Linked DNA regions of Mytilus edulis. The protein of the gene in region 1 purifies or fractionates together with the protein of each later gene. This does not show direct contact. Links are inferred from orthologs where the notes say so. Each region holds a gene or a part of one and is shown on either strand. Other genes may lie near its edges. The genes, in order: 7SK snRNA methylphosphate capping enzyme-like, RNA N(6)-adenosine-methyltransferase mettl16-like and squamous cell carcinoma antigen recognized by T-cells 3-like.

Evidence for each region.
Region 2: the proteins of 7SK snRNA methylphosphate capping enzyme-like (region 1) and RNA N(6)-adenosine-methyltransferase mettl16-like purify together in Homo sapiens (affinity purification with mass spectrometry; 3 studies listed by BioGRID). This does not show direct contact. The link is inferred for Mytilus edulis from reciprocal best matches to the Homo sapiens genes MEPCE and METTL16.
Region 3: the proteins of 7SK snRNA methylphosphate capping enzyme-like (region 1) and squamous cell carcinoma antigen recognized by T-cells 3-like purify together in Homo sapiens (affinity purification with mass spectrometry; 6 studies listed by BioGRID and IntAct, counting the BioPlex papers as one, with this or other methods). This does not show direct contact. The link is inferred for Mytilus edulis from reciprocal best matches to the Homo sapiens genes MEPCE and SART3.

What each region holds. Positions count from the first base shown.
Region 1 is NC_092356.1:27,036,997-27,048,209, reverse strand, and holds the start of 7SK snRNA methylphosphate capping enzyme-like, read left to right. Parts: upstream 1-6,778; 5' UTR 6,779-7,102; coding exon 7,103-8,413; intron 8,414-10,311; coding exon 10,312-10,530; intron 10,531-11,213. Other genes in the region: zinc finger CW-type PWWP domain protein 1-like, read right to left, coding at 711-779, 4,351-4,482, 5,043-5,152, 5,675-5,717. UniProt on the Homo sapiens protein: S-adenosyl-L-methionine-dependent methyltransferase that adds a methylphosphate cap at the 5'-end of 7SK snRNA (7SK RNA), leading to stabilize it.
Region 2 is NC_092349.1:6,455,009-6,466,170, forward strand, and holds the start of RNA N(6)-adenosine-methyltransferase mettl16-like, read left to right. Parts: upstream 1-6,224; 5' UTR 6,225-6,379; intron 6,380-6,504; exon of another isoform or gene 6,505-6,621; intron 6,622-10,217; 5' UTR 10,218-10,225; coding exon 10,226-10,547; intron 10,548-11,162. Other genes in the region: lissencephaly-1 homolog, read right to left, coding at 640-671. UniProt on the Homo sapiens protein: RNA N6-methyltransferase that methylates adenosine residues at the N(6) position of a subset of RNAs and is involved in S-adenosyl-L-methionine homeostasis by regulating expression of MAT2A transcripts.
Region 3 is NC_092349.1:30,325,960-30,337,089, reverse strand, and holds the start of squamous cell carcinoma antigen recognized by T-cells 3-like, read left to right. Parts: upstream 1-6,153; 5' UTR 6,154-6,194; coding exon 6,195-6,356; intron 6,357-8,147; coding exon 8,148-8,274; intron 8,275-11,130. UniProt on the Homo sapiens protein: U6 snRNP-binding protein that functions as a recycling factor of the splicing machinery. Promotes the initial reassembly of U4 and U6 snRNPs following their ejection from the spliceosome during its maturation.

The DNA.
Region 1 (11,213 bases):
CAACCTGTTCTTGTTTCCAATGTATACAACAACTCAAACTTATTTCTTTTGCAATTTTCATAAAAAAACATAGTTCACTTGTTAATATTTTTGGTTTGCAAACTATAAATCATTATGTTTTATGCTTATTGTTGATATTTTAGTTCATTCTCAAACAAGTTGTTCACCATCGATTACGGCTTTCAACAGGTAATGTACATTTCAATGTGTTGTATATTTCTCCGCCTGCATGATATGAGGCCTTTTTTTAAACGGGGAAGTTTCCCAATATATAAATCAAATAATAAATTAAACAACAGATGAAAATGGTTATTTTTAGATTGCAGTATAAAGACAATAATAGTGCATTGACTGGACATATCAACTATATAAGGATTCGGCTCGAACCAGGGAAATAGCCTCATCCTTATATCGATAATATGTCAAGTCAATGCACTTTTATTGTCTATATACTAATTTCAATAAAAGATGATTTTATTTTTTATCCTGGAATATTGTTCCATGTTCTTATTTTTCCTGTTGACTTAAAAAAAGATTATCCGGCAAATATAAATACAAACATTGGCATTGTATATTACCCTCCAATAGTTTTATTTTAAACATTTTGAATATATTTTAAAATGTTGGTACACTCTGACCATAACTTCCCAGAAGAAGATGAAATGAACAAAATGAAAGTTAATTATTTTATTAATTTAGAAAAAAATTACCTTAAGGGATTTCTTTGTTCCTTTCTTTTTGGTCTTCTCACTTGATTCTTCCTTTACCTCCTTTTTTTCCTGAAACAGCATCAAACCTAAGCTTAGAATCAAAGAGCAGATTGCTCTGAGGGATACAATTGCCATTATTTTCATTGACACATGTATACATGTAGCTGGATAATACTATTTTCAAAACCAATTCAACTGCACATGTAATTTACGTAATCTGAATAGTTACAAAATAGCCAATTCTGGATACAAGTGTATGAACAATGTAATTAGGCCTATTGTGTTTTATTTTTGTACTATCAATTCCATAGATATAGATAAATTCAGCCGTATAAGAAAAGCAAAATGAGAATGTTAAATTTGATGTATGCCTACTTTGTTACAGTTGTTGTTTATGTAGTGATATTAAGATGATAACACAATATTGACTGTTGTACCCCTATTTTTGACATTTTTACTCTTTGAGTATGTTTGTTTTGTTCATGCATCGTTGACAATGTAATGGAATTTGATGCGACTGTCATACAAGTGAGAGGTTTAGCTAGCTATAAAACCAGGTTCAATCCACCATTTTCTACATTAGAAAATGCCTGTACCAAGTCAGGAATATGACAGTTGTTATCCATTCTTTTGATGTGTTTGGACTTTTGATTTTGCCTTTTGATTTTTGATTTTCCTTTTTGAATTTTCCTCGGAGTTCAGTATTTTTGTGTTTTTACTTTTTTCCAAGTTTACTTTCTACAGCAGTCACTGAGACTTCCTGTACGAACTGTGACGCCCGTATATGACACGGAAACCAGGCGTAAAAATCATACTTTATCCTGGCGGCATTGCAGTGTTTACTGAATGCATGTCCAGGCGTCAACCAGGCGTAAACCAGGCGTAAATTAGGCGTAACTAAGGCGTAAACCAGGCGTAAAATTAGGCGTAATATTTAAATGAGTACGCCTGGTTCACAAAAAAATAGGCGTAATATGCAAATGAGTATGCCTGGTCAATAAATAAACCAGGCGTAATATCCTTACATAATACTACACTTATTTTAGTTCAGTGTATTAACCCTAAGCTGTGTACTTTTGTGTATTGATACAAACTTCTGTACTGTTGCTTTTATTTCTTATTGTTTGACAAAAAACTTGAAATATTAAACATTGAAGAAGCTAATATAGAAATAAATACATTTTATGCAGACAATGGCTCAAATAAGTTTAAGTTTAAATCAGAATTATAACAACTATTTTTTCTTGAAATAGCATTTTAACTAAGTTGTTTTTGAAAATTATTGTCTTTTGAACTAATTTATAAATGATAATACTGCAATTTAACTTTAAGTAAAAGATTTTAATGTTATTTATCCAAGGATAAAGGTTTTGGGATTTCAAAAATTCTGATAGAACATAATACTTTTAAATAACTTAGTTATACTCACATTATTATTATTTACCATGCATAACTACTTTCCTTTTATTTCACAATTTTCATTTATTTATTAGATTCAGTATTTCCAATTTCAGATTCTTCCAAAAAGCACAAAACAAGCAAATTATCCCTGAATATATGAAGCTGCCATGTGTCCAACCTTTACACACTAAAACCAAAGAGCCAAATTTTGAAAAAAAAATCCCATGATCCTTTAAACAAAGCATTATGGGTATTTCTATTTACGCCATACCAACAGTTTTACGCCCGTAAGAAAATTTACGTCTTGCCTATTTCAATTTACGCCCGTAAGAAAACTTACGCCTTGCTTATTTCAATTTACGCCAGGTTAACTGCTTTTTTCTACGCCCGTAAGGACTACAAATTTACGTTTCCTGCTCCCTTACGCTTGGATCTAGACACGTAACTACCACTTACGCCTGGTTTACGCCTTATTTCCAGGCGTAATACGCCTTATAATTTCGTACGGGTTAGAGTGAGAGAAGGTATTTCACTTCGTATCTTATCACCTATTTTCCTACATTAATTCTAGGAGGAACTCCATTCCTAACTCTTTAAATATTTAATTTCCTTTGGGTCAGTGGTCATGACTCCTTTCCGTACACATTCCTCGGTTTAAATTGCGATCGTTTTTAATATAATAAGACGTTTATCGACAGAACGAGTTAATTTTTCTCGACGTGTTGTATCTCTCAGAATTGACGGAAGTTACTTCCCAAAGGGAAACAACATGAAACGATAATATTGAAGACTCCATTTTGCCTGAAGGGGTGTTATAGTTACACCTCTACAATGGGGACTACATTTATTTTAATTTAAATGATGCATATGATTTAAAATTATGCAACAACAATAACCCTCAATAGCAGACATACATAGAAAGGAACCCATGAGTTTTAAATTAATCAATTGAGTGGGGAATCCAGAGCAACCATTCAATCTAATACCCCTTGAAGTCAAGAAAACTATATGCATGCACATAATTACCAAAACAAACCCTTGAGCAAGAACCTATATTAAATGTTAATTAAACGACCTAGATGATTCTCTATTTCTTTATGGAAGTACAATATCAAATATCAGTTTCATAACGGTGACATATGAGAAAAACTCTACTTCAGTTCTTATATGACAGATATAGATTTATCGGAATTCAGAGAACTCTCGCATTTTTATCAAAACTGGGGAATTCCATCTGACGCGTATCTAAATTTATAAAAACACTAAATATGAATACAGCTTAATTCTGATTTTCCGTGTTATTAAAAACAGGCATATAAGTCAAGGGAAATATCAAACATGAAGATTATGAAAAGAACATTATAGGAAAGTTGTTTAAGTTCAATCCCTTTGTTTGTTTTTACCTTTTAAAGCAAGACAATCATAAGAATCTGAGATGTTCCTTAGTGTTTAGAATAAAACGGTTGAGGTGAGGGCATGGACCTGAGCCAATGGTATAAGTCTACAGATTGCTTGAAAGTAATCATATCCCAAAAATGATTGGTATCCCTTTTTACTTTTACCTATTAGAAAGCAGTAATTTTTTTGTGTTGAAATAATTAAGGGGAGATAATTCTATTTGGAATTATCTTTTTGAAATTTGGAATCGGGTATAGAAAAAAGCATTTTGTTTCCAGAATCAGTTGTCTACAGTATTAAAGTTAACAGAAATAATGTCTGGCCTTGAATATGAGGATACGAAATCTGAAAATTTGTGAATTAATTTTCCAAAAAATTTTACAACTGTTTTGAGGAGAATTTCAAAAGAGCACACAAGAGGTCTTCCTTACATAGGTATTACCTGTGCAAAAAAATAAAACTTAACTATCAGTACCTTTTTTTGTCCAAAATTCTATTCTTATTCTAGCTTATTTAAGGTGGTACCCAACACCGTCACTAAAATAAATTTGGCTCGTTAAATTTTCAAAAAATTTTGACAAAGTATTTACTTTGACAGAAATATAAAAATTTCAAAAAATTTGAACCAACCAATTTATCAGAAAAATTACACTGGTTACATAGCAGTTTGACTAACACTAATTTTGATCATTGAGAAGCTTAATATTCCCTAACCAACACAACATAATTAAAGCGTTCATCTGATTTTACAGAGTTATCTCCCTGTAGTGTTAGGTACCACCTTAATTAAAATAAATTTACAAAAATTGGGCTATTAATTTATACATGGAAAAAAACTAACAATATCTGAGGTGCATGGAGCTTGGAAAAGGCTTTTCTTTGACTTGACTTTCTTTGGAACCACTGCAGTATTCTCCTTGTCCTGTTCTTTGTCTATGACATCATTAGAATCATCACATTTTCCAGAACTTGGCTGTTATAAAAAATGCAAAATTTTAAATGCAGTTAAGTTATATAATGCACACAATCCTATTCATGCTATTGTGGGAGAATATTTAAAGATGCATTTTATATTCAATAGATATAAGAAGATGTGATATGAGTGCCTATGAGACAATACCTATATAATACAAGCATGTTTTGAAAGCTCAGAATCTTCAAACTTTTGTCTATTAGAAGAACACATGAGATCTACTATAAAATTGAATTTGATTTTGATCAGAGAAGTACTTTACCTATACCAGAATAAAGTACAAATTAAACTTAAAGTTAATGCATAGGTTTTTATATTCTTGTGTACCTACTGGTTAATCAAATCCAAGAAAAATAATTAGACAATAAGATAATATTGTGCAGGTATTCATTATTTGTATATATGACTTCAGGTAAGACAATATTGTCTAAAAGTCTGTCTGAACTTGAACATCTTTTGATTTGACAAATTGAGAAGCTTTTAAATGTTTAATTTTAAGAAGCAGCTAGATTTTTTTGTGAAATTAACTCTCACACCTAGTGTTGATCAGTTTAATTTACCTGAACCTGAACAATTTCAGATCTGGCAGTATTATTTTCAGCAGTCTTAAACAGATTTTTGGGACTCAATAGTAAGTTCTCAGCTTTTACTTCTGCTTTAAGCTTTGGTACTGGAAAACAAATATATAAAGGTAAGATACATAGATTATAATGGCATTTTTGTTTCTATTAATACTGATCTATATTTGAAGAATATCCATTAGCAAGCCAACAAGGTGTACTGTAATTTTTTAAAAGAATTAAATTTTTACAACATTTTTTTTCTTCATATCCTTCATTGCAATCCTAGCTAGCTGTGAAAACGTAGCTCTTAATTCCTTTTGATGATTTTTGATATTTGCGGATCAAAAGGACTATGTTTTCGCAGCTAAATCCTAGCATGAAAAGATGTTTTGTGATTTTCTTTTTTTAAACCAAAAAATTTGTTTTCTTCAACAATGTTTAGGGGATAATTTCAAAAGGGCACAAATGAGATTATCCTTTCATAGGATTTTACACTATACATGTAGATGCAAAACAATTGAAAATCAGACAGTTGAGGCAATCTTGATGTGACAGAAGTGCTGCAGACAGACTAACTGACCTATAGGGTATGGGTTGACTAAGACGGAAGGGCAGTAATTAATTTTTACCTGCAAATGTCTTTTTAAAACAAGGCTTCTTTGGGTCAGTCATTTCTATATGCTGAAACAAAAACAGAAAAAGTTAGAAAATATAATTGCTGATCTTTAAAAATAATGCATTACATTTGATAAATGATTTAACCAAGTCATCATCGGAGCACTTATAGTTGATCTATTATATGACAATCTATTTTTCAGTTCATGACTTTTTAAATGCAGTAATTGTTACTTTTGATCACTCAAAGGGTGCCATAAAAAAATCTCTAATGTCTGCATATCTTGTGGCTCAGAGCAAAAGCATATTTTCTTTTTAGATATTATATTGTTGTATATATTGGTGTATAAGTAAAATATCTTTCAGGTTTAATGCACTGGTTTATATAAGATACTTAATTCATCCAATTCAATGTGTTTGAAACGATCATTTTTGGTTCAATACATCACAAATACAATTGTTAAATTTAAAGATGCATACATATATATTCAAAACCACAGGAATCGGAAGTTCTATCAATAAAATTCTGTAAATTCTACGAGAAGTTCTATAATTGATAGTCGACCTTATTATTTACAGAATTTTATTGATAGATCTTCCGATTCCTGTGGTCAAACCACTACATTATGCCTTTAGCTTATGAACTAAAGGCATAGCATCTTATAAAATTATCTTGCTCAGCTCATGTCTTGAGCAGCTGTCTGGAACATCATCATAAACAACAATAACTTAAAAGGAGAAGAAAAGCAGTTATCAATCAATCATAAAAAACTTGATGATTATTTCATTGCTTATAAGGTCATGTGATGTCATAAAAACAAAATGTTCTAAACCTGTATCATAATGAAAATTGAATAAATAAAAATAATTGTGTAAAATGTAAGTCAAGTGCTTGCAACAACTGTTTGTTTTAAACCTGTGTTATGTTAAGAAATTGTTGCAAATATTTTGTACTCCTCATAAATATCTGTACCTTCAATTTTCTTAGAGAGCCATACAGTGCTTAGTCTTCTGGGAATAGTCAAAATCTGTTTTCTTGTTCAAATGTTTGTTTGCAGACGACAATTTATAGCCTTTCGGAACAACAATTTCCGAAATAATTTCCCACAATTCTATAATTTGCACAGGCGCATTGGATATCCAGTGTGAGCTAACTGCCTTACTGGACGGAGCGCTCAAGGAAACATTAGGAAGTTTACTTCGACTTTGGTGGATATTTTCTGACATTTAATGCTTCGTTAATCTAAAATTGTGCAATTAATATTAACTTTTGAACCTATTCTTCTTGAGAACTGTTAATGCCAGGACGAAATAGGTGATTGTTGTTGTGACCGCATTTTGGCTTGGTCAACCGCCAGGTGGCAGCAAAGTTCCGACGTTTACATTACGAACACGTGCTCGATGTAAACAAACACATAGATTGTGTGTGAAAAGACGTTAAAATGAGTGTTGAAGTGAAGACACCGACCCACACTCAGTTCGAACATTCTGAATTTCTTTGTGGAGATAAACAATCGAGCTCAAAACCAAAACCATCACCTGTTACATTCAAATTTGACGAAAATCAACAGAACTACAACTCTTATAGAAGAGCAAGTGATGGGGGACAAAATTTATCAGTTCAGTGGAAGAAAAGAAAACTAAGCGCTAACAGAAATGATGCTTCTTTCTATGGCCCGGGGTCACGCAGAAAAAGATTCAAGTCAACACCAAGTGAACAGATTGTGTTGCCGACAAAATTTCTTTTAGGTGGAAATATTAATGATCCATTGAACCTAAACAGCATAAATGAAGAGGAAAATGACAAGACACCATATTCGTCACCTGTGCCAACACCAGCACATCGGAAAGAACTTATCAACTCAGTGCCATTCAACATAACAGACCCATTGAATTTAGAGTCAGCAGATGATGAAATAGGAATGAGAGGTGCAAAGAAAAAGAAAAGAAATAAAAAAAGACATGAATCATTTTCTTCTGGTAGTCAGTTAGCAAAGGAATGGGTGCCATCCGAAAAAAGGAAAAATTTAATGCAAGCTTTGAAGATTGAAATAGATGAACCTAAGTTGACTGATATGAATTTAACCCAAATGAAATCTCCACAGATGAAAGAATTAACTTTCAAACTTAGTTCTTCTTCAAAACCAGATAAAATTGTGTCTCCAGTAATCCCACAGTCATCCCCAAGGCCAAGGAAAAGGACGAGATGCTCAAGTATGAGTGATGTTCATGCAAGACCGGAGTCAACAGCAGCTAGAGCAATTTTCAGAACATCATTAAGTCCATCAAGAAATCTTGAGATTCCTAAACCTTTGCCTGTGAAAATATCTAAGAAATCAAACCAAAAACAATCTGGTGCTGTCAAATTTAATAAAAATCCAAAGTTTGTACATGGCAATTACAATAGATACTATGGCTATAGAAACCCAGAAACAGAAGATGACTATAGACTACATTGCTTTAAACAGGAATGGTTTGAGAAGAAAGATGTACTAGATATTGGATGTAATGTTGGACATCTGACACTTTCAATTGCTAGAGATTTCAATCCTACTAAAATAGTAGGAGTAGACATTGATAGAACACTAATTACTGCAGCAAGGAAGAATATAAGGCATTATATTACATCGCGTCAGACGGATTCAAAATCGTTTCCAGTGTCAAACTCCATCAATTATGGTCCGATACTAGCACCGCCTGTGGTTGGGAATAGTCCGAAAGACGGATTTCCATACAATATAACATTTACACAGGTAATTCATACATGCAGTGTCAGCTACATGTACATTTATATGAGTAAGATTTTATATTTAGTTTTTGAACAAGCGCTATTTACAGTCAGTGTATCCCAAACTCTGTACATGTCCAACCGACAAAATGTCAGACAAAAAATCATTTGGTCAGACAGAACTTTAAAGATTTTATGGTTGAATATATATAGAACAAAAATTTCTTTTTTGGTCAGACAAACCCTAAAACAGTTTGACACAGACTGTATACAAGTCTTGACTCTTTCACCCTTCCAGCTTTTTTTCCAGTACATTTTTGTATATGTATGTATGTCAGCAGAAACACAGGTTTTTATTAGGTCTAACATAAAAAAAGGATGTCATATATGCATTGTTTATATGGTTTATGTACATGTACTTAAGCTTAGGTTTATTGTTTACAGAGTAGGTTTTAAGTCTTCCTGTGCAGCAGTCTTCACGCTGAGTGGCAGCCCAGGCTTGTAAAATTGCTCTCGGGCCTGTAAAAATCATATCTTGAGGCCAACAGAATCTAACTAAAAATTTTCAAAAATTGAGCTCTGGGCCTGTAACAGTTCATCGTGAAGACTGGTGCAGTAGTCATTACTATACTTATGGACATAATCTGATGAAATCACCAGCATCCCCTACATGTATGTCACTACATTTAGATGTCAGGCATTTATTATGTTTATCAGGGGCGGATCCAGCAATTTTAAAAAAGAGGGTTCCAACTACATGTCTCATTCAAATGCATTGATCGTCCAAAAAAAAGGTGGGTTCCAACCTCCGGACCCCCCCTGGATCTCTGCGCCTGTTTATTGGGGGGTTGTAACCCATAATCTGCTAGGGCAATTAAATCTTGCTACCTGCTGGATGATCTATATTGAATCAGGTGTGTTATTACACATCATGCTAAGGTTTATATGCATCTCTTTTGTTTTATAAGACCTTTTCTGAGCATAATGCGACTCATATTACAAATTTCGCAGCTCAATTTAAACTGACTCTAATGTAAGTAAGCCTTCGATAGAAAATGCTTGAAAATCACATTTTGGACTAAAGGATCATATTTAAGTACCTTTGTAATACAGGAAAAGGAATTCTTTAAAATTTGTATTTCAGAAAATTAATTTTAATTTTAAATGTATACATGTACATGTATGATGTAATACAAAAGTTACATGTGTACAAATGTATATATATGTTCAACTGACAGCTGATAAATCATATGCATAAAAATGTTTTAACTATATCTAAAAAAAATCTATTAAAAGAATTTTGTTTCCTTTTTTTGGGTCATGCATGTACATGTACATGAAATATGTATACATGTATATATATGCACATGATTTGAAATATAGTGAAAAAAGTAATTTAATATTTGAACGCAATGGTGTAAATGATATATATTTACAAAATTCTAATTGACTTTTCATGATTTCAAGGATGTTTGCAGTAGTTGCTATGGAACTATATGCTCTGTACAGCTGTCAAACAGAATATGGTTTCAGTGAGTTAATTTTGGTGAGGAATATTAAATGTGGTAGTCATGGTAATAACATCTCCTTTGTAATGCAACTTTTACATATAATTACAAAATTTGTACATTGTACTTCCATTATGAATGATTATTTGAATTTAGCATACACATATACATGTATTCACATGCATATTACAGGTATTTTATATGGCTATGAGCTATAGCCATGCACTTTGTACACGTACCAAGAAATTTGTTCAAGTTGTTGAATCATAATTATTGTACAGTAATATTGCATTGGAAGAATTAATGCAATACATATGCATGATTATTATTATATTATGCAACTAATCAAATTAATTGTACAGGTGATGTAAAAATTGTATAAATAAGCTAATTCTTATCATTTTATAAATTTCAGGGAAACTATGTTTTATCATCAGATGAAATGGTAGATCAGCAGAGAGAAGAATATGATGTCATACTAGCTTTAAGCTTAACTAAATGGATTCATTTGAATAACGGTGACATTGGCTTGAAGAGATTTTTCCGTAGGATCTTCAATCATCTTCGACCTGGGGGCAGACTTATCTTGGAACCACAGCCATGGTCATCTTACAAGAAGAAAAAGAAACTCACAGTTAGTACTGAGATTTTAAAATGTTATATATGTATTGTTAAATGGATTATTTTCATAATTTCTAGGTCTATATTAATTAGTAACATAGATTTATTTTAGTTTTCTTGGTTCCTGGTTCTAATCCTCTTTACATGTACATGTAGATATAGAATTAACATAAGGGGATTCCCTGATATTTTCATGTTATTTTAATCTTTATCAGAAAATAGATATTTTTAAATAAATCCATCCTGAAAATATCGCACTATACAATATGTAAAGTAAGAATTTGCAAAAAATTGTTTATGGAAAAAGGGGGGGGATATTGTCATTGAAATCTTTTGAAACACACATTTTGCATGTTTAGAACTTAAAAAGTGACCTAACACTGTATGGAACTTATTTCAGAAGTTATGTACAATATTTCATTTCCTCATGTTCCTATTATTGGCCCCAAAGGGCATAAACATAACAACATCAATAATTTTCACAATATTATACAATACAAACAATGATATAAAATACAAAAAAAATAATAAAGAACAATTTAAGTTCTTTAAAAAGTAATATGTAAGGAACCTTTAATTTTAAATATATAATACATTATAATGTTTGTACATGTATGTGTTATAAAAAAGATTACAATTCAAGTACTAAAGTAATATCTCATAATACAATGTCTGTTTATTCACATGTATACATAA
Region 2 (11,162 bases), on another chromosome or scaffold:
AGAGAGTGTGCCACCAAGGCCAAGGAAACATTAGAAGTAGGAGTTGTAAAAGTCTATGCTTTAATCACATGAATCATGTATCTCTATAATTGGGAATAAAATCTGTTTGGTTTTTTTAACTGTCACTTCCTTGACTTCATGTACTGTAAATTCAGAAATTATTGTGATGTTTTTATTATTGCGAAAAAAGCGACAGGGTTATAATCGCAATAATTTAAACTCTCATTTAGAATCTCTTTTTATGAAATAAATGTATAAAATGATATCGCAAAAATTATTTTTAAATCGCAATTTAGTCTAAAATGACAAAATCACATGATAAATGCATGCAATAATTTCTGAATTTATAGTCATGACAGTATAATCATGAAAACCATGATAACAGTCTGCACCAAAAACTTTTTCAACTACTAGTCTGAAGACCAATATCCTGACATTTTTCTTATTTGGCCAAACAAAGTTTTGCAAAAACTTACTAGTCCGAATGAAATTTTACTAGTCTGGGGCATCAGACTAGTGGCTAACCGTGCAGACTGTGATAATGATTATAATAATTACAATCAGTTATCATGGTAGATATTTTTTTCAGTTATGATTTACACGTAGTGTAAATTATCTCCTAACAGACAGTTGACTTACAATTCCTCCCTTTGTCTTTGAGATAAAACCATGGTTGCTTAAAGATAGTAAAACGTTTTCCCCTTCTGTCTTTAGTTAGGATAATGTCAGCACATCTTAATTTAATCTGAAATTTAAAATCAAATATATATATACAAGAGGAACACTCATGTGCCTGGCTGTGGCATGATCACTAAGCATGTATAGCTGATGGAAACTCTGTCACATGATTCCTGACATTCCAAACTTTTATCCATGTTAACACCTGACTTCCAACTGCAACCCATCCAATCATTTTGCCAATTATGATTATCAGCATCAGCATACATGTACATGTATTTCATTTGAATTTATTTTTAATAGTTCTAAAAAAATGCATCTTCAATCTCTTATTAAACTTTACCTTTTTTTCTAATATATATATATATACAAAATATTAAATAAGAATTTAGTTTTCTATATACCAGCTGACAAATGATGGATATCAAACATCAAATACTAATTAAAGACCTAGTCCATGAAGTCCATGAATTAAGATACATTTCCTTGTTCAATTTCCAAACTGATTTACAAATTAATTGATTTTCATCATTGTTCATTGCAGTAAACATGGTTAACTTCAATTTATTACAAGATCAATAATACATTTCGATTCCGTGGCCATTGTAACTACATTCAATAGATTTCCACTGGGAGCTCATTCTATTACTAAAGAATGCATGTATACATGGTATACGAGATATTTAAATTGTTATTAAGCTTTGAATTAATGCATAATCATGATAATCATCTCATCAAATTAATCATAGTCCAGCAATTATGGCAATACTAATGTATAGCAATATTTTCATAAGTTAGTAATTGACATCGTACATCGTACAATCCTCAATACCTGCATACAAGACAAAAAGCAGAAATTGGAACACAAGGCAAAGTTGCCTATATGATACAGGGTTCTTATTAAGGATTTGTGAAGGCGAGTATAGAGACATGTCATTTTTAACACTGGCGAGTCCAACATTAAGAAAAGGATATTTTATAGCAATATATTTATCATTCTAGTCTCCATGACCTAATAGAGCAGTGAAATTACATTAAATTTTGCTATAAAATGATGCTACAAAATGTATGTGTGTTCAGTTTATAAAAATTTTACAATCTTGATCAATGCATCTTTGGACTCACCAGTTTTGAAAATGGTGAGTCCAGGACTCATTGACTCACCTCAGTGAGAACCTTGTGATATATGTACATTGTAGTAAGTACAGTATTTGAAATCATTAATTACAGATAATTTCACCAGGCAGATTAACTAGCCCCTTGGGGCAAATTCTCTAAAACTGTTGAGTCTGTGAAATCCACATGGGTCATTCAGAGCCCTTATCCTCTCTCTTATCAACTTCAGTTTTAACAGGAATAAATGTTGATGTAAATAATAGGAAAGCAATTATCCAGACAAAGGGGCTTATTATGCAGGATTACATGTACATGTACATGTACATCCAGTTTTCATGAAATCAAGGAGGTCATATGAGAAGGAGAGTGAACACTTTGCTTGGTACAAAATAAGCATTCCCAGGATAGCAGTTCGATCAGAGAAAAATGATAATCAAAGAGCAGATTGCTCTGAGGGATACGATTGCCGTTGTTTCGTTGACACATGTACATGTATACATGTAGCTGGATAATATTATTTTCAAAACTAATTCAACTGCACATGTAAAATAGTTACAAAATAGCCAATCCCGGATAAATGTGTATGAACAATGCAATTAGGCCTATTGTGTTTTATTTTTGTACTATCAATTCCAAGTTTACTTTCCACAGCAGTCACTGAGACTCAGAGTGAGAGAAGGTATTTCACTTCGTATCTTATCACCTATTTTCCTACGTTAATTCTAGGAGGAACCCCATTCCTAACTCTTTAAATATTTAATTTCCTTTCGGTCACTGATCATGACTCCTTTCCGTACACATTTATCGGTTTAAATTTCGATCATTTTTAATATAATACACTTTATTGACAGAACGAGCTAATACCTGACGTATTGTTTTAATTCAGAATTCACGGAAGTTACTTCCAGAAGGGAGACAACTCGAAACAATAATATGGAAGACTCCATTTCGCCTGAAGGGGTGTTCTACGATGTGGACTATATTTACTTTAATTTAAATGATGCATATGATTTAAAATTATGCAACAATAATAACCTTCAATAGCAGACATACATAGAAAAGATCCCATGAGTTTAACATTAATTAATTGAGTGGGGAATCCAGAGCAACCATTCAATCGAAAACCCCTCGAAGTCAAGAAAACTATACGCATGCGCATAATTTCCAAAAAAAACCTGGAGCAAGATATATTAAATGTTTATTAAACGATCTAGATAGTTCTCTATTTCTTTATGGAAGTACAATCTCAAATATCAGTTTCATAAAGGTAAAATATAAGAAAAACTCCACTTCAGTTCTTATATGACAGAAATAGATTTATCGGAATTCAGAGAACTCTCGCATTTTATCAAACTGGGAATTCCCTCTAACGTGTTTCTAAATTTAGAAAAACACTAAATATAAATACTGCGTAATTTTGATTTTCCGTGTTGTTAAAAACATGCATATAAGTCAAGGGAATTATCAAACATGAAGATTATGAAAAGAACATTATAGGAAAGTTGTTAAAGTTCAATCCCTTTGTTTGTTTTTACCTTTTAAAGCAAGACAATCATAAGAATCTGAGATGTTCCTTAATGTTTAGAATAAAACGATTGACGTGAGGGCAATGCTCTGAGCCACCAGTATAAGTCTACAGATTGCTTGAAAGCAATCGTATCCCAAAAATATAAAGAAACCGACATGTTTATCACCCACTTGACATGGCCCTCTGATGTACCGGGCTGTTACCGCGAGCAGTAAGGGCTATTAGATAAATGGCATATTTCTGGTAACAATACAGTGTATAAAAAAAAAGATCAGACGCGCAATTTCAAAATCAATCGTCTGTCTACCGTGAAAAAAGATAAGAAATGACAAAGTTATGATGGTTTAAAGGAAAGTTAGTGTGCGATTTTTATTCAACACTACATTGCTTTCAACATGTAAACAAAGATTTTCACTTCACCTTCCAATTACTGTTGATGAGAATTGGCAGGTAATAATAATAGAAAATATATGAATATGCAAAGTACTTCCATGTAATTGAAATCACCAATTATGTTATTTATACATGTAGTATATTCAAAATGTTCAAATACTTATAGAACATTGTATAATTATAATTAAACCGTTGATGCAACTTTTTTTGTTAAAATTCATTAGACTTGGTAACATGGAAAATTGCTTTGAGCAACAGTGTACCATTTGATAAGACCAAGGGTATCAAGAGACAAGTTCTGTCCAGTCTGACCTTACGAGCAGGATAGATATTCAAACTGCTCTAAACAATAAGACAAAAATAAATAATACTTGTGTTTACGCTAACCATACATTTTTAGTGCCTACCCTAACACTTTTTATGTCATTTTGGAACTTTTGGAATATTAGATGTAAAATCCTGCAATCTGAGGTTACATTTTTGTATCTGGAAGTGTAGATAACTTTTCAAAAATGTAGAGTTTTTTCTCCATGTAATATGAAAAATTCTACTAAAAAACCTTCTAAAAACTGTTGACAAGACTGTTAAAGACTCTTTTCTTTGAATTTAAGACATACATGTACATGTAAAATAAATGTATACAAGTAGATATAAACCCCTTGCCATCAAATTTTGTTTAAATTAATTTCTCATTCAAATTTGACTTTGGAAGTTAAAGAGATCATCTTTTCTGATGCAGACCGTAAGAAAAGAAGAAAATCAATCAGTTAAAATTTTATTCTTCATAATTTTTCATAATATTTTTCAATTTGCTGAACAACTTCTGTTCAAATACAATAACAAATACAGATACAAATTTGCCTCCTTTTCCCTGCTCCTTACAGTAGCTACAGAACATAACTAGATTCTCGTACTCATAGTACTGGAGCCAGGGACGACCGTCCATCCAATGAATTTTAAATTCTCTAACCCGTTTATCCTCGTATTTCTTTTAAGCCTCTGTAACTTGGTAGGACGTGCGAGACGGCCCTTTTGTTTCCTTTCTAGTCCCAGATTACTCTGACGTCCAACAGCTGTTTTGCCAGACAAGCGGTGGTCCCATGGCCCCAGCTTGTCTGGCAAAATAGCCGTTGGACATCAGAGTAATCTCAGACTAGTGCCTTTCCAGGTCTCGCACTATCCGACAGTGAAGCCTTGTATAAATGATGTTTGTGACCAAAATTATGTGTACACTTTCGAAATGAAAACAAAACTGGTTCCACTTCTTCATAAAATTAATGGTACCCAGTCATCGAAATCGTCCTAATAAGCAATCGTCTAAAATACACAAGATGTCAAGTGGGCAGTTACGAATTAATATCTTTCGACGCAAAAAATTGAAAAATGATCAATGTTTTTTTATTTTCTGTTATTATATTTTATTCAGTCTATGCAACATAAATCAATCAATAATTACCAAAATTTGACATTTTGAAAACATGTGGTACTAACCGTTTTTCGTGCTTTTTATTTTATTTTGAACAATCGGTTATTAGGGAGACTGTCAAAACTGGTTAACGGTATTTTTGTAAGGAAGAGAGTATCAGTTAATTAATATAGATGGCGTTGAGTGACATTCTGCGTTAACTGATGGTAACGATTAAAAAAGTGCACACAGATATGCACTGCCACTAGACCGGTCGGACTATCGGCAGTGTACAATGTATCAGTAGTTTATGTAAACTAGTCTGAGCTTATTTAAACTAGACACGGGCTTCAGGCTACCGCTTAACGTCGCAGACTGCATAAATATTATTTTTTTTGCCTAAATATAGCTATATTAACAATTAAAATACGTATTACACTGAAATTTCGGTTGACAAGCAGACCAAACATGAAAATAAAATTTTGACATCATAAATTATCAGAATTTAAAGATCAAAACAAACGAACTCTAAATCAACTGATACAATCTGAGATCATCAGACAGCATTTGCCTGATGTTCATTCTAATAAACAAAATAAGACGAATTCATTAAGTATCACATCTTGAATAACTTTTGCTGTCTGCCTGAGGGATGGGTTGCAAAAATACTCCACAACTGTCAAACTTGTCATTAGAAAGACAATGGTCAATTTATGTCTAATTTTGCATAAATGGTTAAAACATAATCAATTTCACACTTACACACGTATAAATCGTACATGTAAAAAGATAAATGACATACAAAAGTATGTCTGAAATTTAATGAAATGTTAATTTTTGCATGAAGTCATTCATTGATTTATAATGTCACAGACCGCCATTATGAAGCTGTCTGCAATTCATTTTGAAAATAAGGCACAAGAACAGCAATTTTTCCAATATAAATTTAAAATTTCTAGGTCATGCATAATTCCTTTCTTCAATTTTACCTGTAAACCATTGGAATATGTCTTAAATCAACGAAAATATTATCACTTGCAGGACTCCACACGTAAATTCGTCCGAAAATTGTATGAATACGCATGCGCATACGGAAAACATACGGAAGTCGCACAACGAGACTTCCTCGGGATCCAATATGTCTGCGCCCCTGAAACGTTGTTTTTTAGACGTTTTCATACATTTTATGCTGTCCTGAAATAACATTTGCTAGTAGACATTTGAAGTTGCTTATTTAAGTTTCCTTAAACTATTTAACGGTAAGTACACGATGGTGTTTGATAATATGAGGCAGGCATTACCTGTGAATGAGGACGAAGTTTGCTTAAATTTTTTTTTTTATTTTAATTCTGTATTCTGTATTTTAAATATTTGTTACAAAAAAAGATACGGAAATACCGTAACGTTTCCGATTTTGGTTCTGTTGTTAGGGATTTTACTTGTGACGTTATTTAAGTTATGACGTCATGTTCAATGTAAACAAAGAAACGCAATGCATCAGGTAGGCCTAACGTTTAATATGAGGCAGGCATTACCTGTAAATGGGGACGAAGTCTGTATGAATTATTTTTTTGTAACTTTTAAAAACATTTGTTTAAAAAAAAAGAAACGTAAATACCGTAACGTTTCCGATTTTTGTTCTGTTGTTAGGGATTTAGTTGTGACGTTATTTAAATTATGACGTCATATGCAATGTAAACAAAGAAACGCTATCATCAGGTAACATTTTTCCCCCGCAAGCCGGACCAGATGGCCATTATAAAAAAAATCCGAAATATATTGCTTGCAGAGATTTTTTCTGTGTTCCCATGGCTGGACGGAACTTTTACGCTAAATATGTTAACGTTATCTATGATTTTGTAACTTTTAAATGAAGTACCTGTGATTATTTGGGTAATTTGTTTTGACCTCACTGTTAAAGGAATGTTGAAGCAGACGAAACATGGCGTCAGATGTTGTTGTCCTAACTTCGATAATTTCCGTGGTACGATAAAATTTAGATAAGCTACACAAGTAACCAAAATTTCTGAATTCTTGTTTTTGCAAACAAATAAAAATTCATGTTGTATTTAATATCAAAATTATTCCGATCTGTCCCGTTTTTTCAAGGTCACGTTGAAACGTTAAATTCGGCCGCCATTAAAAAAAATAATCATACGAGATTTAACGAGAGTGACGAAACTTTTCAGATGGGTCGTGTAGAGAGAGTTATCGTTCTTTATTCCAAAACGATGCTTCTACCATAAGTGCCAGCTAAAGCTGGCATACTAGACTGATAAATATATATTTTACTCAAAGTTTCATACAAACGAGACCGGAAAAAGGAAGTACATTATACATTTCTGCGCAGGTCCGGGATTTCAAAACACGACAAAAAAAATTTGAACGATTTTGAGTTCATTAGTACAATGAAAAATTCGGGAAATTTTCCCGTATTTTTTTTTTTTATTGAATTTTCTACTGTTATTGGGGACTCCGTCCCCATATTAATTCATACCAAAGACAAAGAATGATTAAAAATGAAATATTGGTATTGTGTTCCTTGAGTTCCTATATTTTACTAGACTAATCAAAGTCTCACGAAAACAAGACTGGAAGAAGGAAGTAGAGTTATGTGTTCTGAGCAGATCCGGAAATTAAAAAACATGACAAAAAAAAAATTGAACGATTTTGAGTTCATTAGTACAATGACCGAAATTTTCCCAATTTTTTTTTTTTTTTGAATTTTATACTGTAATAGGGGACTTTGTCCCCATATTATAGTCGTCCTCGTACTCGCGAGTCTTTCGCTTTGGATAGAAGTGCTCTATATGATCATACACAGTATGAAAAAAAACAAAATATATAGGATAGCGATCGCCATTGACAGTAAAACCTCGTCTGAGCCACTAAACAAGCCCCTGTGTATCATATATGGGGTAGAAATGTCTAATACCGTCAGTCGTCAAACGATAATTTTTGGCTACTGTAAAGCATTAAATTAGTTAAATTTTACCATGATTTGTCAAAATATCCTTCTTTTGATTCGTAAGAGTTATCAAAATATTTAAATTATCTTTTGCATCATTTTTGGAATAATGTCGAAATAAGTCATGTAAGTCAATTGTTTATCGTATAAAAGTGTACATATTATTGTCATGCACAAAAAATTACAGTTACAGCAATTGGTTTGAAGTTTTACTGTTATTCATCATGAAGCCTGAAGATACTCCCATTACCTACCTCCTATATCTTTATATATATATATATATATTTTTGTTTCTAAATTGACAAAATATTCTTGAATATTGATGCCTGCAGGAAAAATTAGTTTGAACAAGTGTTTTTGATATAAATTTTGAGAGCCTCAATGCTCTTGAAGTTGGGTGCTCAACTCAATCTCAAAGCACACAAGAAAGCCACAGGCACTTGTCTTGAATTTCCCCCCCCCCCCCCCCCCCCCCCATATGTTACCTATTCCATTGTATTCTGTATTTTCCACCTTTACCAGATGAACCACTTCAGTTGGAAAATCCTCTTGAAGTGTAGAATCCCTTATTATTGAATATTCACTATTATTGGATTAAAAACATCTTCTACATGTATATATACATTTACACTTATATACACCACCACCACACTTATTTAAAAGTATTCAAACTGTATATACAGCATGTACAGTCATATTTTAAAATCTAAAACTTGATAGATTGATCCACTGTCATTTTGTCCTTTATTTCACTTGTGTCTCTCTCCTCATCAATAGAATATATATACATCACATGTATCCACAACGCATATTGACTGTAAAACTTGCTCAGATCAGCAAATGTCTATTTCACACTTAAACATGCTCATAAAATGCGAACTGTAATTCCTAACCCTTGCTCTTATACCTAGTATTTACCCCTATCAAGAGAGCCTTACTACAGAATTATTAATTCTTAAACTTACGGTAATGAAAAATTTCACTGTTAATCATGTTAATTGTACTTCATGTACTTATGACTTAGCAACAAGTAAACATTTAAAATCTAAAAAGAAGGTGTAAAATTATCACCTATCATATAAGCGTTAAATAAGACCGCCTAACTGATTTGTTTAAAAATATTAAACTAACAATCAGTTTAAATCTTAAGAAATTATTATCATCTATACCACACTCAAAAAATGAAATATTGCACTATATGTCTCTTTTAACTTGGAAAACTATACAAACAGTCTTCATAGTAATAAACTAGTTCTCTTCTGATGTAGACCAAAACATAAGCTGCTTAACAGGCGCTCAATATTTATCCATACTGGAATTTTGTACAGTCCACTATTAATTGTAATAGCTTATCTTCAAAGTTAAATAAATCATCCACAAGAAGAGCATTAATCTTATGTACCATAATATTATGAGGCAGGCATTACCTGTGAATGGGGAGTAAGTCTGTATGAATTATTTTTTTTGTAACTAAATATTTGTTAAAAAAAAGAAACGGAAATATCAGATTTTGATTCTGTTGTTATGGATTTGTTACTTGTGATGTTATTTAAGTTATGATGTGATGTTCAATGTAAACAAAGAAAGACATGAAAGACAATGCATCAGGTAACCATGGTAACCGTAACGTTAATTCATATCAGAGACATGAGTATTAAAATGAAATTTTGGTATTGTGTTCCTTGAGTTCCTATATTTTACTAGACTACTCAAAGTCTCACGACAACGAGACCAGAAGAAGGAAGTAGTTTCTGTGTTCTGTGCAAATGCAGGAATTAAAAAAGCGACAAATAAAAGTTAACAATTTTGAGTTGATGAGTACAATGAAAATTTCCTGACCAATTTTTTTTTTTATTTTATTGATTTTTCTACTGTTACAGAGAACTTCGTCCTCATATAAAACAAGGTACTTAACTTGTCTTTTGAAAAAAGTCACCCAAAACATACAACTGGCAGAAAAAGGTATTTTCCCACTCTCTTCATGATCATGTAGTTTCTTATTCTATCTGCACAAAAAAAGATAACTTTTAATGAACTAAACACATATTCTGCGGAATTTGTAAGATACATGTACTTATACAAACTGTACAAGTGTAATTTATTTACCTTTAATAAAATATTTTTTACAGAATTAATTATGGCGTTGAATAAGTTCATGCATCCAAGGAACAAGTACAAAAGCAAGAAGGCAAATTTCCAGTACCTTGCCATCAAATATCCAGAATTTAGGAAACATGTTTATCCAGATGTAAGTGGAAAGCTTTTTCTTGACTTCAGAAATCCTGATTCTTTAAGACAGCTTTCCACCACACTTATGAAAGAAGACTTTGGATTGGATGTTGTGTTGCCTCCTGATAGACTGGTACCTACCATTCCTTTGAGGCTTAACTATATCTTATGGATAGAAGATATTTTGAAAGATTCCAGTATTAAGGGAGACATTTTAGGAATAGATGTTGGTAATATTAAGCATACATATTATAATTTATTAGAATCTTGAGAAACAAAATATAGAACATGTAGAATCAGAAAATATTCTCCACGATTAAAAAAAGGAAATGTGGTATGATTGCCAATGAAACATTTTTTTACTCTTCCATGTCTTCACATGAGACCAAATGACACAGAAGTTACATTTGTAACATCTATAGGTCACTACAACCTTCAACAATGAAAAAGCACATACTGCATAGTCAGCTACATGTATAAAAGGGCCTTAAATGTCAAATATTCTCCTTGAGGTCAATTAATTCTGATAGGATAATAATAACAATGACATCCAGAGGGCAATATAACAGTCTTTTACAAAAAAACAAGACTAACACTCAATGTAACTTGACAAGCTTTTAATGTTTGAGTTTATAAGTAAAAAAAGTTACATAAATGAAATAGAAACAATTAACATGATTAAAGACTTGCCTTTATTAACTAATTCTTTAAATGAGAAAAAAACTATTAAGATATGACTAATTTAAGACAACAACTGAACTCAGAACAGGCACTTGTGTATGCAGATGTGACTTGATTTACTTGAAATGATTTTTATATGAGAGGTATATGCTCCTCGTTTTAAA
Region 3 (11,130 bases), on another chromosome or scaffold:
ATTTTTGCCACGTGGAGCTTACATTAGAATGAATACCGAATATGGAAAGTGAAACTACAATTCAAAACATAAAGTCTAAAGGCACATGGATGAAAAAGATTTTTTTTTTTTTGGCAAAGGGTGCCGGGGTTATCTTCTCTGTGTTCATAATATACATGAAATATTTGCCACTGCACCTTGTCTGCTCTATAAATTCTTACCCTGAGTTTTCTATCTGTTACATGCCAAGAAATCCTCGCTAAAAATTCCGGTTGACCTCCTGCGGCACCTATTAGTAGTTTAAAGATTGGATTTCATTCAACAAATTAATTTATGACCTGCATGTACGTGTCGCTTAGAACACGGCCACATACCAAATGGTTAATAATAATCATCCATGTAATTTGCTCTATGGGATGTTTGCAAAATTTCAACGGAGGCAATTTCTTGGCATGACGACACAGCCTTCTAGCGATAAAATAATATGTTTGAAAGAACTATGCACTCGGCTACCTTGTTTTCTTCAAATCGTTTTTAAAACGCCTTGGTTTCTTCAATTTGAATTATAGAAAACAAAACTATATATCAAACGAAAACTGGATAAAGTGAGAAGCAAGTTTCTTTCGTTAGTAAAAATTACTACTTCACTGCTTATTTCAGAGTTCGAACCCTACACGTGGTAGCTTGGTTCGACTCCAATCTTAAGTGACTAGGATTGACAGTTTCCCTGCCGAAAGTCAGTGGTTCTCTCCGGGCGTCTCAGCTTTCTACACTCAAAAACAGCTGGGCGCCATGAAAGAGCAAATAATGATAAAAGTGGCATTAAAGACCAACAATGAATACACCAATCATTGCACATCAGATCATAGTTTTGTTCAAACACGAATCTATTTATTTGAAATTGAACTTGACAATAGCAATTTTTCCCGCATCGTATAACGATGAATTCGGATAACACTGTAATATGTGCCGCTGGACATGAAAAAGCTTAACCTTTAATAATTTTAAATAATAGAAAGATTACGAGATGAATTTTAAAGCAGAACTATTTAAAATTAATGTCAGATGTTTAAGGGGAAACCAATAATTAATAAGAAGATATTTAAGATTTTTAAGATTTCCAAGATAAGGGCACATAATTTTAAGGGTACTGTCATTAAAGGTTGGTGTGTCCATCATATTACATATGTGGCAACCTTTTGTTTAAGTTTTATAACAAATTAAACTTTTCAAAGTTATTCAAGTTCCATTACTAACTTAAAGTCGACACCTTATAATGTAGAATATCTATTTTAAATAGAAAAGGGTGTTTTCTATGTCAAAAGATTGCAAAATTTTGGAGAATGAATAGAGCTGTCCCTATTCGAATGCAGCATTCGTTAACTTAATAGACATGTCTTTGATAAGCAATACTTTGAACCACTGACAGGGTCTTTAACGATCCAATGCGCAAAAATGACAAAATTAAAGACAGAGTATTGTCCCTGCTAACCTGAAGAGTGTAGGTTTCAGCTCGAGAGTTCCCAGTGAAGACATTTTTTTTTTGTTTCAGTTAAAAAAAATTGAGGTACAGAAAATCAGATCATTTCGTCTTTTTCTATTTAGTTCTTTGAGTCGCTTTTTTGCTTTTCTTTACTTTAGTATGCATGACATGAAACTTTAAATTCATGTTCTAAAACAATATTTACGTGTGCATTGTGCTTCAATATGAAAATATGGGATAAACGTCAATGATACAGCCACCTAGTGACAGAAACAACCAAAAAGACATGCATGCGCTCGGTTTGACGGTAAACCAGATATATGCGAGATAGCCGCACGGGAGAAAGGAAGAAAGAACCTTCACAATTTGCCATACAATTGTTTTTCCCTTTCTTTTTTTTTTAAATAAATAATTAAAAAAAACTTTCTAATGTAGAGTTCCTAAGATAAAAATATTCCCTGTGGAAGAACCCGCCCCCCTTTTTTTTCGTCCTCTCCGATTTTAACTCTCAAATTAAGCTTTCCACTCTAATTAAAATTAAAACCTTGCTTTCTAACCGATCTATCCTTGTACTGGACCGGCAACTTTCTTCATTTAATAAGAAAAATATACAGTTGCGTTATAAAACATGCATGTTGTCTGCTTGGAGTCCCCGCCCGAAAAGAAAGAAATAGCCTAACTCCAAGATACAATATTCCTGCATCACGTGATTTTTGCCACGTGGAGCTTACATTAGAATGAATACCGAATATGGAAAGTGAAACTACAATTCAAAACATAAAGTCTAAAGGCACATGGATGAAAAAGATTTTTTTTTTTTGGCAAAGGGTGCCGGGGTTATCTTCTCTGTGTTCATAATATACATGAAATATTTGCCACTGCACCTTGTCTGCTCTATAAATTCTTACCCTGAGTTTTCTATCTGTGAGGCCCCTCATGGGGGGGTCCTAGTAATCACATAATCACCATTTTTTTGCCAATATAATCACATAATCATTAAATATTTGCTTATCTTTAGTAATCAAATAATCATAAACTAAAAATACAGTCCTAGGTAATCAAATAATCATGAAATATTTGGCTTAATAATCAAATAATCATTAAAAAAACGGCCAAGTAATCACATAATCAAAAACCCCATGAGGGCCCTCATCTGTTACATGCCAAGAAATCCTCGCTAAAAATTCTGGTTGACCTCCTGCGGCACCTATTAGTAGTTTAAAGATTGGATTTCATTCAACAAATTAATTTATGACCTGCATGTACGTGTCGCTTAGAACACGGCCACATACCAAATGGTTAATAATAATCATCCATGTAATTTGCTCTATGGGATGTTTGCAAAATTTCAACAGAGGCAATTTCTTGGCATGGATCGCTTATGTTGCTTTTATAACACTTATTTGAACTTTAATGCTATGTTTGTACATAATAAAGACATATCACAATGAAAATATGTAAAAACTTTCCTTCAAATCAATTAATTTGGTATTTTCAAAACGTAAACAAATACAGTTTTCCCATGATCCTTTATTCTACAATAGACATACCCGCATATGACAGTGAAAATGAACTAGCTGGATTCACACTTTATATACACTGATACCGCATAGTCAGCTATAAAAGGCCCCGATAAGACAATGTAAATCAATTCAAACGAGAAAACTAACGGCCTTATTTATGTAAAAAATAAATGAACGAAAAACAAATATGTAACACATAAACAAACGACAACCACCTGAATTACAGGCTCCTTTATGAAAAAAAATATAAAGAAATGCTATATTGGGGGAAATTATTTAGACCAATTATAAAACTATAAAAACCGATCAATTATAAAACTGTTAACTGAATCAAATTTTTTAAAGTACTCTATTTCTGCATGGATGAAGCAACGACACCACCATTGTCTTAAATGATGGAGTTAAAAACTCAGTAATTCAAATGAATCCCACGTGAAATTTTTCATGTTATTTTCACGTGAACTTTACAAAAATATGAAGGTATTTTTCATGATTTTAATTAAATTTTTTAACAATCTTATTTTGAAAATTTACGTGAATTCAACGTGTACCTGATTTATGCATGATTCACGTGGAACCAACCAGTTCAAGCAAGTTTCAAGTATATGCTCGTTATGAAAATCAGACGAGATTAATGGGTAATTCATGTGAGTGAAATTTCCAGGTGCAGAACGAAATAAATTATATCAGCAGAATTGTGTATTTCATTACTAGGAAATTAACGAAACCCGACAGCGGAAATAAAAAATAAAATAAACACCATTCAGATCCCGACACATATTTTGTTTTCAATATCTCTGAGTAGTAATACCGTAACGTTACATTCTGTATTCAATAACGTCACACGTTTTCGGTCCAATTCTAATGATATCAATCAACTTTGAAGCCATTTATCTCAAAAACAAGGATGGTGACATATGAGTTTCTATACGTGTATGGATTCAGTATGCAATTCTGGATATTATGTTAGTTTTTTGTTTTTCTCCGTATATAAGAACATAGCCATCCATTGGAAAATCTAAAAAGTTAAGCCGAAAAAAAGGCATTTCCCCTATATACCTAGGTAAATTTGTCGCCAAAATTGACGTTTTCCTATGAAAATACCAAGAAAACAAAAATGGTGACCCCCATTTTTTATTACATATTCCGATATAACTCAATTCAAAGAACACATGTGCCAAAAAGTTTGGAAATCGGGAGATATGCCATTCGGTATCGTGTTACCTTCAGAGCATCAATTTAAGTTTATTGACAATGTCATAGATTTACCTCAAAACGAGAAATATTAGAAAATAAAATAAAAGTTATCTAAATACAGCGTTACATGGGGGTCTCATTGGGGGGTTCCGATCCCGGATCCCGCTTACTGTTTTGTCAGATTCCCGTATCCCGCTTACACTATGTACATAAGCAATTCTCATTTTTTTTTCATTTCCCGGGTCCCGCAAGACCTAATTTCCCGTTTTCACGCCACAATAATTTGACTTTCACGTGTCACGCTTACAAAAAATCGGCAATCCCGCGTCACGCTTAGACCCCAATGAGACCCACTTACATTACCACTGATATCAATAATAAGCTCAGCATTATTAGACTGTCTTTCTCTTTCATATCAGAATATCTAAATATAAGAAATAGTGTACTGATATGATAAATCAATATGTAACTTTTCATTCTATCATGATATGTTATCATGTAACTTTTCACTCTACCATGTCAATTAATATAATTATATGTATACAATAGGTCTTAACCATTATTTGTTAATGAGTTTGCGCCAATAAAATAGTCGTTTTGTATTTGTATTAATTGGCATATTTTAAAAGCTTTGACTGTAGTTGATACACTAGCAAACTTTAGGAGCATTGGCTTCAGCTAGAATCATTGTGGCATCATCTAGAAGCATTGGTTTCAGCTTGAAGCATTGTGGCATCATCTAGAAGCATTGGTTTCAGCTTAAAGCATTGTGGTTTCAGCTTGAATCATTGTGGTTTCAGCTTGAAGCATTGTGGTTTCAGCTTGAAGCATTGTGGTTTCAGCTTGAAGCATTGGTTTCAGCTTGAAGAATTGTGGTTTCAGCTTGAAGCATTGGCATATTTTAAGAGCATTGCATTCAGCTTGAAGCATTTTCATATTCCAAGAGTATTGGCTATATGAATATATGAACCCTGCTTTTTTCAATCCACAAGAAGAGCAGCAGCAAACACCAGTTTTGACATGCCAGGGTTCCAACTTGAGTGAACACGCTAACAAAAGCTAGACCACTGATGTTATCATTGTATGAAGGACATATATACCTTGCAATTAATTAAAATACCAAAAATATAACATATAAAAACTACTATATAAACACCCTGGTTATTGACCCTCAAAATTAGGACAAAATATCAGACGAAAAACCACAAGACTTCTGCATACAGATATGGAGCTATCCAGCTCTTCCACAGTTTGGATAATAAAGTTTTAAAAAATACCTCCCCACAAGATTCCTTTGTTTTGCCCATGATACCGGCAAGCCAATAAATTACTGGTACTGTGGAGTCATTATTATTCGTTGGATACCAATTTTTGTGTTTGTTTCGATAGTACATGTGTGTGAACCACGAATTAAAATGTTCAACGAATAACAAATGTTCTATATGCTTTGTATGTAGAGATTGGCAAAACCATGAAATCAAATACTCACTCCGGAAATGCAAGTTTTCCTCCATCTACTAAAATAGATACCCACGAAAATACTAGTTTTCCTCCATCTACTAAAATAGATACCCACAAAAATGTTAGTTTTCCTCCATCTACTAAAATAGATACCCACGAAAATGCTAGTTTTCCTCCATCCAATAAAATAGATACCCACGAAAATGCAAGTTTTCTTCCATCTACTAAAATAGATACCCACGAAAATGCAAGTTTTCCTCCATCCACTAAAATAGATACCCACGAAAATAGTTAAATTTAGTTAATTCAAGTTAGACTAAGATTTCCAATATCCCTGCCAAAAAAATATTAATCAAACATATTTTTGTCACGAATCTTCCTTTTTATGCATTCATGTACAACTTTTTCTTTTTCTTTTCGTTAAATAATCTTTGCATACTAATAACGTAAACGTGAAAGATAACAAACGAACAAAGGACCCGATACCGTATCTGCTTCCTTGGTTATAGCATTTTTCACAATTACCTCCCTTAGTTCGTATTTTAAACGCAATGGAGGTCTCTACTTCAAACGAAAATAATAAAGAAATGCAAGATAGTGACGACGATGAAAAGGCAGATGTAGAAATGGAATGCGAGAAAGATTCAGATTCCAATGACTCTGACAGCGAAAATGAGGAATCGGAGAGACAGGTTGCAGAACTTCAGAAACAGGTCATTTACTTTTATAGCAAAAACTGAAGCCAAAGCCTTACTCTACTGATCTTTAGTAGACTTTACTATTGGTATTGAAAGAGGTCCAAACTCACATAATAAACCCCATAACAAATACATTATATCGCTATTTCGAAATCTGCACCGGTCGAATATTAAGAATCTGTGTGGTGGAACTATACACCTTATCGCCATTTGTCAGCCATTGCTGGATATCACACAGGTTCCCGTAAAATTTTGACGTCATAAAACAAAATGTCTGACGCCACAATGAAAAAGTGATTGTTGTATGCGTCAAAAGTTCAAGCGGCCGGGTCAGCCAGGATTAGCGATATGGTGTATTGACATCATACAACGAGCACTTCTCCATTGCAGCGTCAGATATTTTGTTTTCATATCATTCTATCCCCAAGTCGATCCAGCCAAAGTCAATCTGTCCCAAGTTGTTCCGTCTCAAGATGATCCATCTAAAGTCAATCCCTCCTAAAACAAAAAATATTTGTATTAAGCATTAAAAAATAAAGCTGTTTATGTTTTTGAATTTTGTAATAAAATGAAAGCTTGACAGTCGAAAAAGCTATCTCTTGAGGAATATTTTCATTATCATGATTATGAATAGATAAGACATTTTTTTGATTATAATGTAACGGGAGTGGAAGTTTCCCGAGTTCAGGGAATATTAGAAAACAGAATACGTTACTCATAATATAGATTTAATCTCAGCCAAATAGATTAAGCACAGTTTACAATGAATAAATATACGGTGGTGGCTAGTCTACTTGTATAAATAAAGGTTCCATATTTGAAAGCCAAACGATATGAGCGTCTGCTCATTTCAAATCCTTAGTGTAGACTGTCCCGAACCCGGTGAGTGACGTCATATGCGTATAGTTCCTATGGACAACGAGCCCGGCCGGGCACGTGCTAGAACAGGAAGTCCCGACAAGGATAATTTCATGGCCGGTCTCGGAAGAAAGAGTTACGGAACTATAAGTAATTATAAAGTTAACCAATTTCCCCAAATAGATAAGTAAACAAAGTGACCACCATTACAATAAATTAAATTACTAAAGATCAAACTATAAAGATCTTGTCACTCATGATTTTGATTAAATAGACAACTTTTGAGTTCAATGCATTTCCATCAAAAACTTTGTTTTTAATAAACATCATGTCTGCATTTAGGGGCGTCGTCACTTCTGTTTCAATGTTTAGAGAATGTTTGGAAAACTATAAAGCTAAATTGCACACTATCTGGTAAATGACGTCATAAAGGAGCACATAATTGACAATTTTTTTCTGGTGACAGACAAACTCAAAAGTTAATTATTATTAATGATACTTTAGCATAATCATCAGGAAAATGTTGAATAATCAAACCAAATATAAATAATCTAATGATTTGATTTAAAACTAGTCATTATAATCAGGATAATGATTATATTGAATTAAATTAAAAACAGTACTTTACCAATTACACCAATTTTTGTATCGACTTAAAACAATTCTTCTGAATATAACTGCAATATTAGGCATACTTCGCTCACTAGTCAGTAAGCATCGAAACTTTTTACTAATTCCATTAACCTGTAATCAAATATATATATATGTCACCAAATCTTGCAAAATTAGTAAAGATTATTAATCGGAAATGCACGATGGTGTTGCATCGAATAAACAGTTCCACTGTGCAATATTCCTTTTTGAAGTTTTTCATTCTTGAAATATTTATATTTTCATCCAAAACTTTTTTGCCCTGTTCTGTAATTAAATGTGTAGTCTATTTTTCAGATATCAAAGAACCCATACCTGTATGATGTTCACATAGATTTAATTAAGTTATTAAAACAACTTGGAGAGTTAGAACAGCTTAGAGATGCCAGACAACGAATGAGTGAATTATTTCCCTTGGCAGAAGGTATGCGAGGAGTCTAAGTTGTTCACATTTTATTGACAAATGAAAATGATTTTCATTGATGGATAAATACAGAGTTCTCTCAATCATTTTTAGCTCACCTGGCCTAAAAGGCCATGTGAGCTTTTCTCATCACTTGGCGTCCGTCGTCGTCGACGTCGTCGTCGTCGTCGTCGTCGTCGTCGTCTGTCGTCGTTAACAATTTTTCAAACATCTTCTCCTCTGAAACTACTGAATGGATTTGAATGAAACTTAACATGATTGTTCCTTAGTATATCCTGCACAAAATGTGCGCTTCGATTTTTGATCCGTCAAAAAACATGGCCGCCGTTACTTAAAATAGAACATAGGGGTCAAATGCAGTTTTTGGCTTATATCTCAAAAACGAAAGCATTTAGAGCAAATCTGACATGGGGTAAAAATGTTCATTAGGTCAAGATCTATCAGCCCTGAAATTTTCAGATGAATCAAACAAACCATTGTTGGGTTGCTGCCACTTAATTGGTAATTTTAAGGAAATTTTGCAGTTTTTGGTCATTATCTTGAATATTATTATAGATAAAGATAAACTGTAAACAGCAAAAAAGATCAGCAAAGTAAGATCTACAAATAAGTTAATATGACCAAAATTGTCAATTGACCCCTTAAGGGGTTATTGTCCTTTAATGACAATTTTTCACAATTTGTTCATCATATTTGCTAACTTTAAAAAATCTTCTCCTCTGAAACTACTGAATGGATTTGGTTAAAACTTAGCATGGTTGTTCCTTAGATTATCCTGCACAAAGTGTGTGCTTTGATTTTTGATCCGTCAAAAAACATGGCCGCCGTTACTTAAAATAGAACATAGGGGTCAAATGCAGTTTTTGGCTTATATCTCAAAAACGAAAGCATTAAGAGCAAATCTGACATGGAGTAAAAATGTTCATTAGGTCAAGATCTATCAGCCCTGAAATTTTCAGATGAATCAAACATCCAATTGTTGGGTTGCTGCCACTTAATTGGTAATTTTAAGGAAATTTTGCAGTTTTTGGTCATTATCTTGAATATTATTATAGATAAAGATAAACTGTAAACAGCAAAAAAGATCAGCAAAGTAAGATCTACAAATAAGTTAATATGACCAAAATTGTCAATTGACCCCTTAAGGGGTTATTGTCCTTTAATGACAATTTTTCACAATTTGTTCATCATATTTGCTAACTTTAAAAAATCTTCTCCTCTGAAACTGCTGAATGGATTTGGTTAAAACTTAGCATGGTTGTTCCTTAGATTATCCTGCACAAAGTGTGTGCTTTGATTTTTGATCCGTCAAAAAACATGGCCACCGTTACTTAAAATAGAACATAGGGGTCAAATGCAGTTTTTGGCTTATATCTCAAAAACGAAAGCATTAAGAGCAAATCTGACATGGAGTAAAAATGTTCATTAGGTCAAGATCTATCAGCCCTGAAATTTTCAGATGAATCAAACATCAAATTGTTGGGTTGCTGCCACTTAATTGGTAATTTTAAGGAAATTTTGCAGTTTTTGGTCATTATCTTGAATATTATTATAGATAAAGATAAACTGTAAACAGCAAATATGATCAGCAAAGTAAGATCTACAAATAAGTCAATTTGACCAAAATTGTCAATTGACCTCTTTAGGAGTTATTGCCCTTTAAAGACTTTTTTCACAATTTGTTCATCATGTTGACTTACTTTAAAAAATCTTCTCTTATGAAACTGCTGTATCAATTTCAGCCAAACTTAGGCTAAATGAGTTTCAGAGTTTCAGAGTATCTAGTATAAATTTTATATTTCATTTCCTTGTATGTCAAGAAACATAGCTCCTATGGCTAAAATAGAACATAGGAGAAAATGATTTTTTTTTTTGCTTTTGAAGAAAATAGGACGATTCAAAGAACATTTAAATAAATTGAAAAGCCAAAATAATCATTGATGAGAGATTAAACCAAAAAAATTCAGGTGAGCGATTCAGGCTCTTGAGAGCCTCTTGTTTTGGAAAATGACGCAGTCATTGTTCCATTACTGGCGACCTGAACTTCATTACATTTCTCTGCCTACCGCGCTTGGTTTCGTATTTACTATTTTCTATACAAACTGGAATCTGCTTGTGTTATCATTAATTATGCATGAGAGGTCATTGTGTAGTAATCAGCCAGGAACCAGTTTACAAACTAACTGGTTTCTGCTTGTATTCCACTACACTCGGACAAAGTGTTGTAGTTTGACGGGAACCAGTTTAGAATTTGTAAACTACAAAACGTAATCGGTTATTGTTCATTCCGTTTTGGTGTTTCATACCGACTTTTATGGTTTGAATAAGCTTAAGACCCTTCAAACATTAATGTGATAGGTATATTAAAGACTGTTTTACAAAAGGATGGAACTGTTTTGCTTTCAAAGTCGTACTATAGTGATATCTGTTATGTACGGATTTCCACTCTCACCGGTTAATTTCTTTTTTTACACGTGCTTTTGAAACTTCCTGTTTAAACATAGCAAGTTTTAAAATTGTTTTTTGAGTGAATTTAACTTATTTTAACAATCATGAAGCGTTCTAGAATCATTTTCAAGCAGTTTCTTCTTCTCTTTGATGATGGAAAATAGGTTTTTCTCAAGAAAATACCGCAAACGATCGCAGAGGAATTGAAACGTACAAGTCAAGTCGGCACCTGGTTAAATTGGCATCTGATCAAATCGGCACGTATTTGACGTCAATTCGGCATCCAATAATATTTGTTATAATATTTTCTATTCAATTAATTAATAACTGTTACCAAGTACATAGTGAATATGTTGTTGTGTATTTAGGTAAACAACGAAACCAAAGTGAAATTATGTTGTTGTGTAT